3 linked regions of the Oryctolagus cuniculus genome follow. The protein of the gene in region 1 interacts with the protein of each later gene in a pairwise test. Links are inferred from orthologs where the notes say so. Each region holds a gene or a part of one and is shown in the gene's direction. Other genes may lie near its edges.

Region 1 (4,211 bases):
GACAGCTCTTGCATCTGTTGGTGCACTCCCCTCCCAAAGCCCAGGCTGGGCCAGGCTGAGGCCAGGAGGCCGGGGCCCCCTGGACGGGGGAGGTGGGCCCCAGCCCCAGCTCACCGGCTGACCGCTGCGCCTCGGCCTGGGGAACCACACATACTTCTCGCAGCGCTTGCGCCACGCCCGGGGCTCCCCGAATTGCCTGCTCTGCCTCCGGGGACGCTGTCCCCGTGCCCGGCAACCCCCAGCCCCGCAGCCGCGGCTGCTCGGGTGGCGGCGTCCTGCCAGGGCGCACGTGGCCGGCTCCCGCGCTCGGAGCTCGCCCTGCCCGGCTCGCCGGCGCGCTCAGCTCCCTCGTTCCCGCATTGTGCAGTCAGAAACCCTTTTCGCTCTGCTTCGAGAGCCTGCGGGGCGCTTTCCCCTGCCGAGGAAACGCACGTGGGTGGGGTCCGGGGCGCCCCCTGCGTGAGCCCAGGGAACGGACACGTGTGCGCCAGGCGCGGTCCACGCGGGGCACGAGGGCACCCGGCGCGGCGAGGCTCGGGTGTGGACCCCCCTGGCGACGCCAGCCCGCAGCCCCGGGAGCCCCGCGGGCCCCAGAACGCGGGACCCCGGGCCGAGGGCGCGGGGCGCGGGGCGCGGGGCCGGGGCCCGCTCAGCGCACACGGCGGTGTTCGGGGCGGTGGGTGACAGAGTTTTCGGGTGACTCTCCCCCTGGGGAGTCCACAGCCCCGCAGTGGCCCCTGCGGAGAGCGGCGGCTGGGGAGCGCGGGCGACCCCCGCGACCCCCGCCTGCCGCTGGCGGCGCCGCCCGGGCGACCTGGACGCCCGGAGCTCCCGCTTCACAATTTTTTCCTTTTTTTTTCCCCCCCTCTCCTGGTTGTTTTTCAGATACATCTTTTTTTTTTTTTTTTTTTTTCAGAGTTGAAAAAAAAAAGCCCTCCACAACAGAACAGCGCGAGCGCGAGCCGCCGCCCGCAGCGAGCGTGCTCGGCCTGCAGAGGCCGGCGCCTCCCGCCGCCCCCGCCCCCGCGCCCGCGCCGCGCCGCGCGGCTGTGCTCTGCTGGTGCCCAAGTTCGCCTGCCCAGGAACTTGGCACTCGCCATTGCGGGGCCACGGCCCTGGGCAGCGGCCTGCAGCTCGGGGGCCACGCGCCCCGGGCTGAGCGCTGCCCCCCGGGCCCGCTCCCAGTGCCTGAGCCCCGCGGGGGCCGGGAAAACGGGGTGCCCCGGCCATGCCCCGGGAGAGGGCGGAGCGCGCCCGCGCCCGCGCCCGCGCCCGCGCCCGGGTGTGGGCAGGGAGCTCCCGCGCCCGGAACGTTGCGAGCAAGGCTTGCGAGCGTCGCAGGGGGGCACTCGCGAGGGACGGACAGGAAGAGGGCCAGGGGGGACGCCAGAGCCCGGGACCACGGCACGGAAGCGGCCCGGGGCTGAGCTCGCAGTCAGATCCGGGGATGGAGGGAGCTGGAGGAGAGGAGTGAGGAGGCCGGGGAGGGTGGCCCTGCTGTCCTCCTGGAGGCCAGCGGCCTCCTCGCGGCGGGGGAGCAGGCCGCGCAGGAAGGAGAGGGGTCAGGAGGTCGCCGAGCCGCAGCAGGCTCAGCGCAGGCCGAGAAGGGAGCTGCAGGCGCTGTGTAGCCGAGGGCTGGGGTTGGCCAAGGAGGGCCGAGGCCGGGCCTCTGGCGGGGGCAGCGAGGCAGGGCCCGGCCCCGGGGCGCGGCCTAGACGCCGGAGCGCGCGGCCAGGGGCAGCCCGGGGGTCAAAGGCCGTTGGGGGTCTCGGGGTCTCAGGGAGTCGAGGGAGGCAGGGGGCTTCAGGTGCTGCCAGTCCCGAGCCGGATTGGCGAGTTATGCGCTTGTAGATCCAGGGTTGGATTGGGGTGGGGGTCTCAGGGACGGCGGCTGGCCAGGCGAGGATTGGGGGGATTCAAGTGCTTGGAGATCGAAGCCAGGTCTTGGGTAGGGGGAGTCAGACAATTGGCAAGCCTAGGCGGTTATCTGGGGAGGGGTCTTCGCGCCTCGTCGGCTGGAGGCCTGCGGCCTGGCCCAGGGAGGCCGCTGGCGCGAGGGCGGGCCGGCTGGGCCGGGCCTGGAGGCGGGCGGGGGGCCCTGAGCGGGGTCACACAGGGTGAGCCATGGCCACCAGGCGTTTAACCGACGCTTTCTTGTTGTTGCGGAATAATTCCATCCAAAACCGGCAGCTGTTAGCCGAGCAAGTGAGTAGTCACACCACCTCCAGCCCTCTGCATTCACGTAGCATTGCTGCGGTGAGTCTCCCGGGCACGCGCGCCGCGCGCCCCCGCGCCCCGCCCGCCCGCCTGTCTGTCTCTGTCTGTCTCTCTGTCTGTCAGCCGCGCCGACCAGTCGCGAGCGGCCCCGGCCCGGCCAGGGGGCGTCGCCTTCGCCGGGCCCCGCCCCCGCCGACGGCCGGGCCCCGCCCCCGCCCGACGGCCGGGCCTGCGGGAGGCCCGCGGGGCGTGGGGAGGGGCGCGGACGGGGCTCCCCCTCGGGAAGGCCGTGGGCGTGGGCGTGCGGCTGCGAGGAGACGGCCCTGCCCTCAAGGCCCGCGGTTCCTCGGCGCCGCCGGGCTTTGTGCGGGTCGCCCCCTCCCCAGGGCTCGCGGTGCGCGGCCGGAGGCCTCGCGTGTCTCCCCGCACGTCGGAAGGAGGCCCGCCGCGGCGCTGCGTCCGCACCTCCCGCGCGAGCCCGGGCCGAGGCGTGGAGGCCGCGTGAGGAACGCGCGCCGTGGGCTTCGGCGAGGCCCCGGAGCCCGCGGGTTCAGAGCCGAGGCGCGGTGTAGACGGTGCGCCCGGGCCGCGCCGCGAGTCAGATGCTTGTTGGAAGGGATTGCGTGGGCGCATATTTAAACTGCGTGTCTGCACAACCCAGTAGAGCGGGTCGGACTCCGCGCAGCCGCGTGCACGGCCGGGAACGCTGCATCGGGAGCACGGCCCGAGCTCGCGTGGGTTCCTGAAGACTTGGAGGGTGGGCCGCCCCGCCGCTGGGGGCGCGCCCCGTGCCCCTCAGTGTGTTGCAAGCCTTCCTAGATGATCAGAGCCGTCGGATCGCCGAGAATAACCCGGTTTCAAAAGACTGTCTGCCGCCCGCAGCGTCAGTGTGCCTGGTTTTTAGAAGTTAAGTTAGCGGGCGCATTTACGTGTTTTAATATTTTAATGGTGCGCGCCGAGGCACCGCATCCCCAGACCCCAGAGCGCCCGGGGAGCCTGCGGGCGGCTTCCTGCAGAAGCCCTTCTGCCTGTGCACCCGCTGCAGGAAGATGAAAAATCACCAAATCACCGCGAGAGGCCGGAGCACTGGGGCAGAGGGCAGGGCCTGGCCGCTCCGCTCTCCCGGAGCCGGCAGGTGCACGCGTCGCGGCTGTGGAACGTTGGCTGAGTGGCTCCCAGAAGGCCCCGCCGCACTCCCGAGGTTCATCCTGCGGCAGGTCACACAGAAGTCACACCTCGAGTGTGAATGTAGAGCGGCCGTTAGGTGGTAATGCAGCAGTCAGACCAACCGCAGTTGATTACACGTGTGGGTCTTCCTAGCGATGGCACTGAAGGGCTTGGTGGTGTAGTATCAAGAAATCTGTTTCCTATTTAAGTACTTAGCCCCCCTCCAATGAAAGAAGCAAATGAAGCAAGATACTAGTAATTCTTAAGCCTAGTGACAACTATCGCTAGGACATTATATCATTTTACGTACTTTTTCTGTGTGTTTGGAAAATTATAAAAATTTATATTTTGTCACAGTAAAGTAAAACAGCACAATTTGTAAACATCCATGCTAACTTAGGTAATTAACAAGGCAGTAACTAAACTTGAGAATTTAAATTAATTTTAAAACTCATAACTTGAAATTTTAAATTTCCAATTAGAAGAAAAAGCTGTAGAAAGTTGATTTTCGTGTATTTGCTAGACATAGCTAAAAAGAAATCACACCTAAAATAATTGGAAAATTTCTGAAATTTCACATCCTTATTTGAGGAAAACACTGCAAGAATTGGCTGAAAAGTGGCGTGTGTGTCCATCAAACATCTCGGCACAAAACAGCCCTACAGCCATTGCCATTCAAAAAATGAAGGCCCGTTTCTTTTTCTTGTTTGAGGAAAAAACTTGAAATTGGCTTTAGTGATGAGGGTTAGTGTGTCGCTCCGGCCAGTGTGTCAGAAGTAAACACATTCAAGGACAGCCAGCGGAAGTGCAGGCAGCCCCGGCCCGAG
Region 2 (4,205 bases), on another chromosome or scaffold:
AGGTGAGATTCACAGGACTTAGAGTATAACATTTCAACACGTACAATTCAGAGACAGGTATTGTATTCAGAATGTCGTGCAGTGGTTAAAACGCTGCTTGGCTAAGTACTTGGGTCCCTGCCCCTGCGTGGGAGACCTAGAAGCTCCTGGTTCCTGATAGGCCCAGCTCCTTCTGTTGCAGCCATTTGAGGAGTAAACCAGCAGATGGAAGACCCTTCCCCACCCCCACCTCTGTTAACTCTGCCTTTCAAATAAATAAATGAATCTTTAAAAAAAAAATGTTATTTGGGATGCCTGCATCCCGTTGTCAGGGTACCTGGCTCTGAGTCCTGGCTGTGCTTCCAATTCCAGCTTCCTATTAATGCAGACCCTGGGCAACATGGGGAGGGGGATAAGGGCTCAAGTAGCTGGGTCCTTGCCACTCACATGGGGGACCTAGATCTAGTTCCGGGTTCCTGACTTTGGCTTGGCTCAGCCCCAGCCATTGTGGCCATGTAGGGAGTGAACCAGCTGATCAGAGATCTCTTTCTATTGCTCTGGCTTTCAAATAGTCAATTAATAATCTAAGGATCCAGTGTTGTGTTGTAGAGGGTAAAGCCGATGTTTGCAGCGCCAGCATCCCACATGGGCTGGTTTGAGTCCCGGCTGCTCCACTTGCAATCCAGCTCCCTGCTTATGCGCCTGGTAAACACAGTGGAAGATGGCCCAAGTCCTTGGGCCCCTGCACCCATGTGGGAGACCTGGAAGAAGCACCTGGCTCCTGGCTTCGGCCTGGCACAGCCCCAGCTGTTGTGGCCATTTAGGGAGTGAACCAGCAGATGGAAGATGTCTTTCTCTCTCTCTCTGCCTCTCTTCTGTAACTCTGACTTTCAAATAAATAAATAAATCTTTAAAAAAAAACAATAATTTAAAAAGGAAGAATATTGTGCAAGCATCACTTCTCTAGTTCCAAAACTTTTATGTGTCAGCTTTGGTTTGGGGTGAGATGCAACCACTGAGACCCTACCTGGCTTGCTCAGGGCCGCCAGCGCCTGACAAGGACACTCTACAGATGCTTGTTGAATGAACGGATGACACTTCCCTAGCTCACCTACAGGGTGTCAGATGCAGCACTAAAGAGGGTTCCAGGACCGGCTCCATATGCCCATCTCACCCACTGGGCTCTGAACTGCATTCAACCTGCAGGCTGGCGCCCGGAAGCACAGTAGCTGACCAGGTTGGGGTGTCATTGCAAGTCGGGCGCCGGCGGCCCGGCAGGAGGCGCCCCCACTGACCTGGGTCGCTGTCGCTGGCCGCTTTCGGTTTGTCTTGGTCCCCGTCGCCTCTCTCGGCTCGCGGAAGGCGCGCCCCCCGCCCCCGCCGGCCGGCCCCGCCCCGTCCCGCTTCCTCCCAGGCCGCTGGCACCGCTGCCGCTCCACGGGCAGAGCAGCCGGGCGCGGGCGAGGCGGCGGCAGCGGCGGCGATGGTGAGCCCCCGGCGGGGCGGGCGGGCAAGGGACCCAGGGCCAGCGCAGGGGTCAGACCACGCATCACAGGTCCGAGACCAGGGGCGTGGGCTCGGACCCGACGAGGTGACTGGCGGCTGCGAGCAGGACCCGGGCCAGACTCCCCCGGCCGCGCTCGCAGCCCGGGAGGGAGAGGGGGGCGTGCGCCCCGTGGGGCTGCCCCGCGCAGCGCGTGGTGAGCGGTGAGCGGGGCTCGAGCTTGCCTTTCTTCTGGAGCCAAGTAGCTGGGAGCGCCGCTTTGGAGTAGGACTCCGAGTTGGGATCCCGGTTCTGTGACCCCTGGCAAGTCACTTAACCTCCCCGAGTCTCCTTTTCCGCATCCGAGAAGTGGGGTCACCAATAGCTGCCTTGTTGGGTGCAATGGCCGAGACCCGCCTGGCACTCAACTCACTGCTAAGGAGTGGTAGGTAATGCGATGACCTCTTCAGCCCTTCCCCGAGGCGGTAGGAGCCAAGCCTGGCCCTGGAGCTGGAAACCTGAGCGGATGGCTAGTGGTTCCAGTCCCGTGGCAGGGTGGAGGAGGACAGACACTCCCCCTCCCTCGGGGAAGAAAAGTGTTTATGTAAAAGTTCATTGAAGTTATCAGAGTATGGCCCGATCCCTTCCTAACCTCTACCTAGTGACATATTCCTGGGTTGAGTCACCCCCGCTCTGGCTACAGTCTCTGGCTTTGTCCAGTCTTGCCAAAGCTGAGATGTTAGGGACAGCTGGTGCCAGCACACTCCCCTCCCCACTATTCCCCTGCCCCGAGGTCTGTGGGAAGGTGAGCCAGGCAGGAAGCAGGCTTGGTGCTTTAAGGTTCTGCCTTGGAGAAGTTGGCAGAGGAGTGATGGATGTGGCCTGGCTAGGGGTCCTGATGCATGGCCTGGTCCCCAGGGAAACCAGGCAGGAAGAGGAAGTGGAGCAGGAAGGTAGCACTGAACTCAGAGGCCATGCCAGGAAACTGAGCGGGGCCCTGAGAATAGAGCCCAGAGTCCACTTCTGAGCGTGCAGGATGAGGGACCTGGCAGGGCTAGGGGTGGGCTTTTAAGTGACCCCTAGCTTCCCAGCTGAAGAGGAAACTCCTGAAATGAAGGCTGAGGCCAGGATAATTTGTTGGGGGAAACTGAAAAGCTTCAGGACCTGAACAAATAGAGCATTAGAGTCTGAAGAAGATACACAGTCGCCCGTTGATATACGCCGGGGATTGGTTCCAGGACACTCATGGACACCAGAGTCTGCAGAGGCGCCAGTCGCTTTTACAAAATGACCTGGTGTTTGTATAGAATCTGTGCACATTCCCCTGTAGACTTAAGTCATCTCTAGATTACTCAGGATACCTAATACAATGCTTTATACTATTGTTTAGGGAATAATATGACAAGTCAAAAAATCTGTACATGTTTCTATAGATGTAATTTTTTTAAAGATTTATTTATTTTATTTATTTGAAAGGCAGAGTTAGAGAGAGAGAGAGAGAATCTTCCATTTGCTAATTCACTTCCTAAATGGCTGCAATGGCCAGGAGCCAGGAGCTTCCTCTGGGTCTCCCACATGGGTGCAGGGGCCCAAGGACTTGGGCCACCTCCTGCTGCTTTCCCAGGCTATTAGCAAGGAGCTGGATCAGAAGTGGAGCAGTCAAGACTCCAACCGGTAATCATATGGGATGCTGGCACTATAGATGGCTGCTTAACCTGCTACGTCATAGTAGCGGCGCCCAGATGCCATTTTTACAAAATATTTCCGGTCTGTGGTAGTCAGACCCACAGATGGAGAACATGCGGAGGGCTGACTGTGTTGATCTGTCTCCCCCAGCCTGCTGTCTCCCAGCCTCATACTCCCATCCCTTCTTTCACTCCTGTCCCTTTCTTTTTCCGAAACTCTTTCACTTCCTTTTCCCCCTCACCTTTTCCTACCCGATCCTTCTTCTTTTTCTACTTTTCTCTTCTGTGACTCATTCATTCAGCAATAATTTCATGGGCATTTCCTTTGTGCCAGCTGTGATGACAGGCACAGGGGATCAGGGAGGAGCAAAGCAGTACGGGAAAGACAGAGGTGAATGAGTAATTACTTGAGTTAATCTTATAAATGGGCCTCTCTCCAAAGACTTTGTGTTTGGAGCCGCAGGCCTCCCTCATATGCACACAAGCATTGAAAGGTGTGGTGGTCTTCAGCCGGCCAGCTAAAGCACTGAACCTCCCTTTACCTGCACCTAATTTACCACAGGGGTTGAGATGCTGATCCCCGGAATCTATGTTGGTTCAACTCCCAGAGCTTCTGTTCCCTCTGACCGTGACTGGTGATTTAACATCTCTGTCCCAAAGTTTCCTGTAAAGCTGGGATAGTAATGCTGTCTTCAGTGGACTGGTGTGAGGGATACATCAGATGGAGATGGAACAAATGAACAGCCAGCAGCGCAGTGCCTAGCTCAGGGCACGTGCTGAATGAACGGTGGCTGCTATTACTGCTCAAGATGTCAAACTGAGGCCTGGCTCCGTGGCACAGTAGGTTAATCCTCCGCCTGCGGCGCCGGCATCCCATATGGGTGCCAATTCTAGTCCCGGCTGCCCTTCTTCTGATCCAGCTCTCTGCTATGGCCTGGGAAAGCAGAAGATGGCCCAAGTGCTTGGGCCCCTGCACCCACATAGGATGATCTGGAGGAAGCTCCTGGCTCCCACATGGGAGACCAGGAAGAGGCACCTGGCTCCTGGCTTCGGATCGG
Region 3 (3,573 bases), about 44 Mb from region 1:
AGGAGAGAGACAACATGCACCAGGAACATCTATCTGAAGGAACACCTGTGCAGCCCCCGAGAGAGCCGGCCGGCGGTGTGCCGCTCCCCCGCGGAAGTGGGGAAGGTGGCAGGGGGAACCGCCCTTCCACGGAGGTGGAAGGGACGGTAGCCAACCCGGGAAGAACCAGCAGCAAACCTGGGAAAGGCCGAACAGACAAAAGAACAGTGCAGGGTCCTGTGTCGTTCCTCCACGAAGAGGGGGAGCGACACCTCTGTCTTTGTCTCCTTCTCTCTATCTATAATTCTGCCTCTCAAATAAATAAATTAATCTTTAAGAAAAAAAAAGAGCAATCTTCTCTTTCCTTTTTCTCTGATACCTTTATCACCATTAAGCAAAACAAATAAATAATAGTGTTTTATTTTTGAAAGATTTATTTATTTATTTGAAAGGCAGAGCTACAGAGAGGCAGAGGCAGAGCCCATCAGAGCTGGCCTCAGCCTATCAGCTGTTCAGCCAGCTGGTGTGTTCCTAAACTGCCACTTGGTGGTTGGCTGCTGCCCCAGGTACCCCTGTTGCCTGCCCATTACCCTGGCAGAGTCTCTGCCACTCCTTGGGACCACCTGCCTCTTTACAGGCCAGCCATGGTCTCCAGCTCCAGCCCCATAGCCAGTGTCCACTCTGACTAGCCAGTGCCAACCTTAGTCTCTTGTTAATTGCCATAACAAAATACCTTAGGCTGAGTATTGAGTAAACGGTGAAAACTTGCTGCTCACAGTCTGGGGTCTGGGCGGTCCAAGATCCAGGCGCCAGCAGATGCCGTGTCTGGAAGGGCTGCAGTGCAGGAGCAGGGCCGCGCAGCAGCCGCTTGCGTAAGGGCACGGTCCTCCTCCCAGAGGGCCCCTCCTGATGCCCTCGTCCAGATTGCAGCAGTGCCCATGTCACGCTGCACTCACGTGTTTCCACAGCTGCCTGGGCACTCTTCATTGGAGCAGGAACTGAGTGCAGGTCAGGTAGCCACAGAGTGTGCTCACCCTTGCGTGAAGGTTGAGAAGCCTACGGGGGAGTCAGTGGCTGCCTCTGGGGAGGGCTTGGGACAGGGGTCACAGGTGGAGCTTTGGTGGGATTGGGTGCAGAGTCTGTCCTTTCCCGTTGGGGGTTGCCTGTTCCAGACCTTCCTGAGCTGGAGGCACTTCAGGCGTCCCTACCGCAGGGGACTTGCTGCCGGAGGTGGGGAGGCCCTCCCTGAAAGGCCGGGTGCAGCTTCAGCTGTTGTCCCACTGGCCTCCTGCAGGCAGGACAGGCCTGTCACCATGTTCCCATGATGCCTCTCTCAGGGGTCCCTTCCCTCCCTCTTCGGCCACAGAATCTGTGCCCCTGAGGCAGAGTTTGCTCTGAACAGACTCTGTACATTTGTCACAGGCTGTGTCCCAGCAGGGATCTGGGTATTATTTATAGCCACACCTGTCAGGGTGCTCCAGGAAGAGCACAACTTCTAACCCTGCCTGGTACAGAGCAGGCCATACCTGTGCATAAGTTTCTATCAGGTTTTGCTATACACTAGAGGAAAAACTGAATTTTTAGGCTTTTTTATTTTAAGATTCAAAATTGTAGGCCTCATTTTCAGTCTTTAAGAAACTCTCTCCTTAGAGCCTGTCTTAGCAACTTCAGCAATGACAGCTAAGCACAGTGGACGTGGCAAGATAGAAAAGGAGCCGCCAGCACCCTCGCTCTGGGTGTGTTGCCTTTGCTTAGTCACTTTGCAGCTGGAAGGCCCGAGGGTGTGTCCTTTACGTGTTTGCCGAGTAGAATTGAACAGCCCAGAGCCTGGCTGTTCGGGAGGCTGCGTGCCCAGGGCTGGGACGGGAAGGTCAGGCTGCTGTTGTGTGCACCTGGGTGCACTTGACCAAGGTTCTCAGGTGGGAATGCTGCTTTTTAGTGAGGTCCAGCACCTCAGGTGGGGGCCGCTCTGCAGGAATTCATTAATTACGTATGAATCATTGTGGTCGTTGCTTCTTCTGATTGATTGATTGATTGATTGATTGATTGTGGTCTTCTCTTGTTCAGCTGCAGGAAACGCGTTCTGTCAGGCGGCCAAGCTGCACATGCAGCTGCAGAGCAAGCATGACTCTGCCACCAGCTTTGTGGACGCCGGAAACGCTTACAAAAAGGCAGACCCTCAAGGTGAGGCCGCCGGGCACGGGCACACAGCCGACCGTCGGGGGCGCTGACTGGGCCACCGTGCCTCCCGCCTCCAGGCCCGCGTGGGGTCCCTTCCAGTCCTAGTAGAGGAATTTTTGTGTGTTGAAATGATAGTGACTCTTGGGTAAGGATAGCGATTTTTCCTGGTGGAGACTTCGGAGGCTTCTGTGAACAGAAAACGGTTGAAATGTGTCCTGGTGCATCTCGTATCCTGGTGGTTTAGTTGTCAGCACCGTTTTTCCTCTAAGCCACTTGATGTTGCATTTTGGAAATTTATCTAAGCCTTCTTCCATCTTGACTTTATGAACTATGTTACTGATCACAAAAGGCAACTAAGGGCCCCCTTCCATGTGCCTGGTGGATTTTAGGAGCCAGTCAGTGTGAGATTGTGATATCTGTGGTTCAAAACACCTTTTGTTCACACTGTAGTCATTTTTTTAAATGTTTTTTCCACATATTGGTTTTGAGGAAATAATGGAATTGGATATTTAGCATTTTGCAAGTTTCTTTCTTTTTTAGTTGGAAGTGTGCATTAGCAATTAACAGCATTGATTTCTTCCCTCTGGCACACTGCATGGATAGCACTGCGTCTGTTTTTTTCTTTTAGTGGTACTTTCTGTTTGACACAGAAACCCCAACTTTTATGACTATGTCATATAGAAATAAGATATCTTCGAGGGCTTTTTTTATACACAGATAAGTCACAGTTTATTTCTCTAATGACAAACTGGACACAGACCGTGTGAGCAGTGGGAGTAGCCAGAGGGACTCACAGTGTGTCCACCTGTTAGCATACAATACAGGCGTCACAATGCCTGGTGGAAGAGACTCTTCCCGGGACCCAGTCAGCATTCGCGTGGTCATGATACACCGCGCGATACCAAGGGTTGTGTGACCTTGATTGCAGAAAACACACCACACACTTTGGGAGGAAAGGTGCGTCCGCTGCGATGGCGGGCTTCTGTGCAAGCGGGGACAGGCTGCCGTTCTGGTCGTTGTCTATTTGTAAAGTGCAGCGGCGAGTCCACTCTTTAAAATACAGTTTGGGAGGAGATTGCTTTTCATCTTTGCTGATCTGTTTATCTTCATGATTCTTCGGTCAGGCCTTTTCACATCGCTGCCTCTTTCAAACCAAAAGCAGTTGCCCTGGAGCCGTCAGCCATGTGCAGCATTATACATACCAGCGTTTTGGGTCAGGGCTGTGTGCTGGCTCCCCACTTTGGGAAGTAGCGTTGGCACTCGCTGGGGTTCTCCCCTTCCTCTGTAGATGTGTTGGGACAGGACAGGCAGCACCCCGGACGTGGGACGCTGGCTCTGCTGCACTTGTTCCAGTGCTCTGGCCTTCTGGCCGCACGAGGGCTAGAATCTGCCCGAGGGGTCGTTCTCCTGTAG

What was found.
Region 2: the proteins of STX16 (region 1) and VAMP5 interact in binary tests that used the Homo sapiens proteins (3 or more experiments, as listed by UniProt). The two-hybrid records come from large-scale screens. The link is inferred for Oryctolagus cuniculus from reciprocal best matches to the Homo sapiens genes STX16 and VAMP5.
Region 3: the proteins of STX16 (region 1) and NAPB interact in binary tests that used the Homo sapiens proteins (3 or more experiments, as listed by UniProt). The two-hybrid records come from large-scale screens. The link is inferred for Oryctolagus cuniculus from reciprocal best matches to the Homo sapiens genes STX16 and NAPB.

Annotation. Positions count from the first base shown.
Region 1 is NC_091442.1:3,594,823-3,599,033, reverse strand, and holds the start of STX16 (syntaxin-16), read left to right. Parts: upstream 1-1,409; 5' UTR 1,410-2,124; coding exon 2,125-2,256; intron 2,257-4,211. UniProt on the Homo sapiens protein: SNARE involved in vesicular transport from the late endosomes to the trans-Golgi network.
Region 2 is NC_091433.1:117,064,161-117,068,365, reverse strand, and holds the start of VAMP5 (vesicle-associated membrane protein 5), read left to right. Parts: upstream 1-1,337; 5' UTR 1,338-1,462; coding exon 1,463-1,465; intron 1,466-4,205. UniProt on the Homo sapiens protein: May participate in trafficking events that are associated with myogenesis, such as myoblast fusion and/or GLUT4 trafficking.
Region 3 is NC_091442.1:47,608,989-47,612,561, reverse strand, and holds part of NAPB (beta-soluble NSF attachment protein), read left to right. Parts: intron 1-2,046; coding exon 2,047-2,163; intron 2,164-3,573. UniProt on the Homo sapiens protein: Required for vesicular transport between the endoplasmic reticulum and the Golgi apparatus.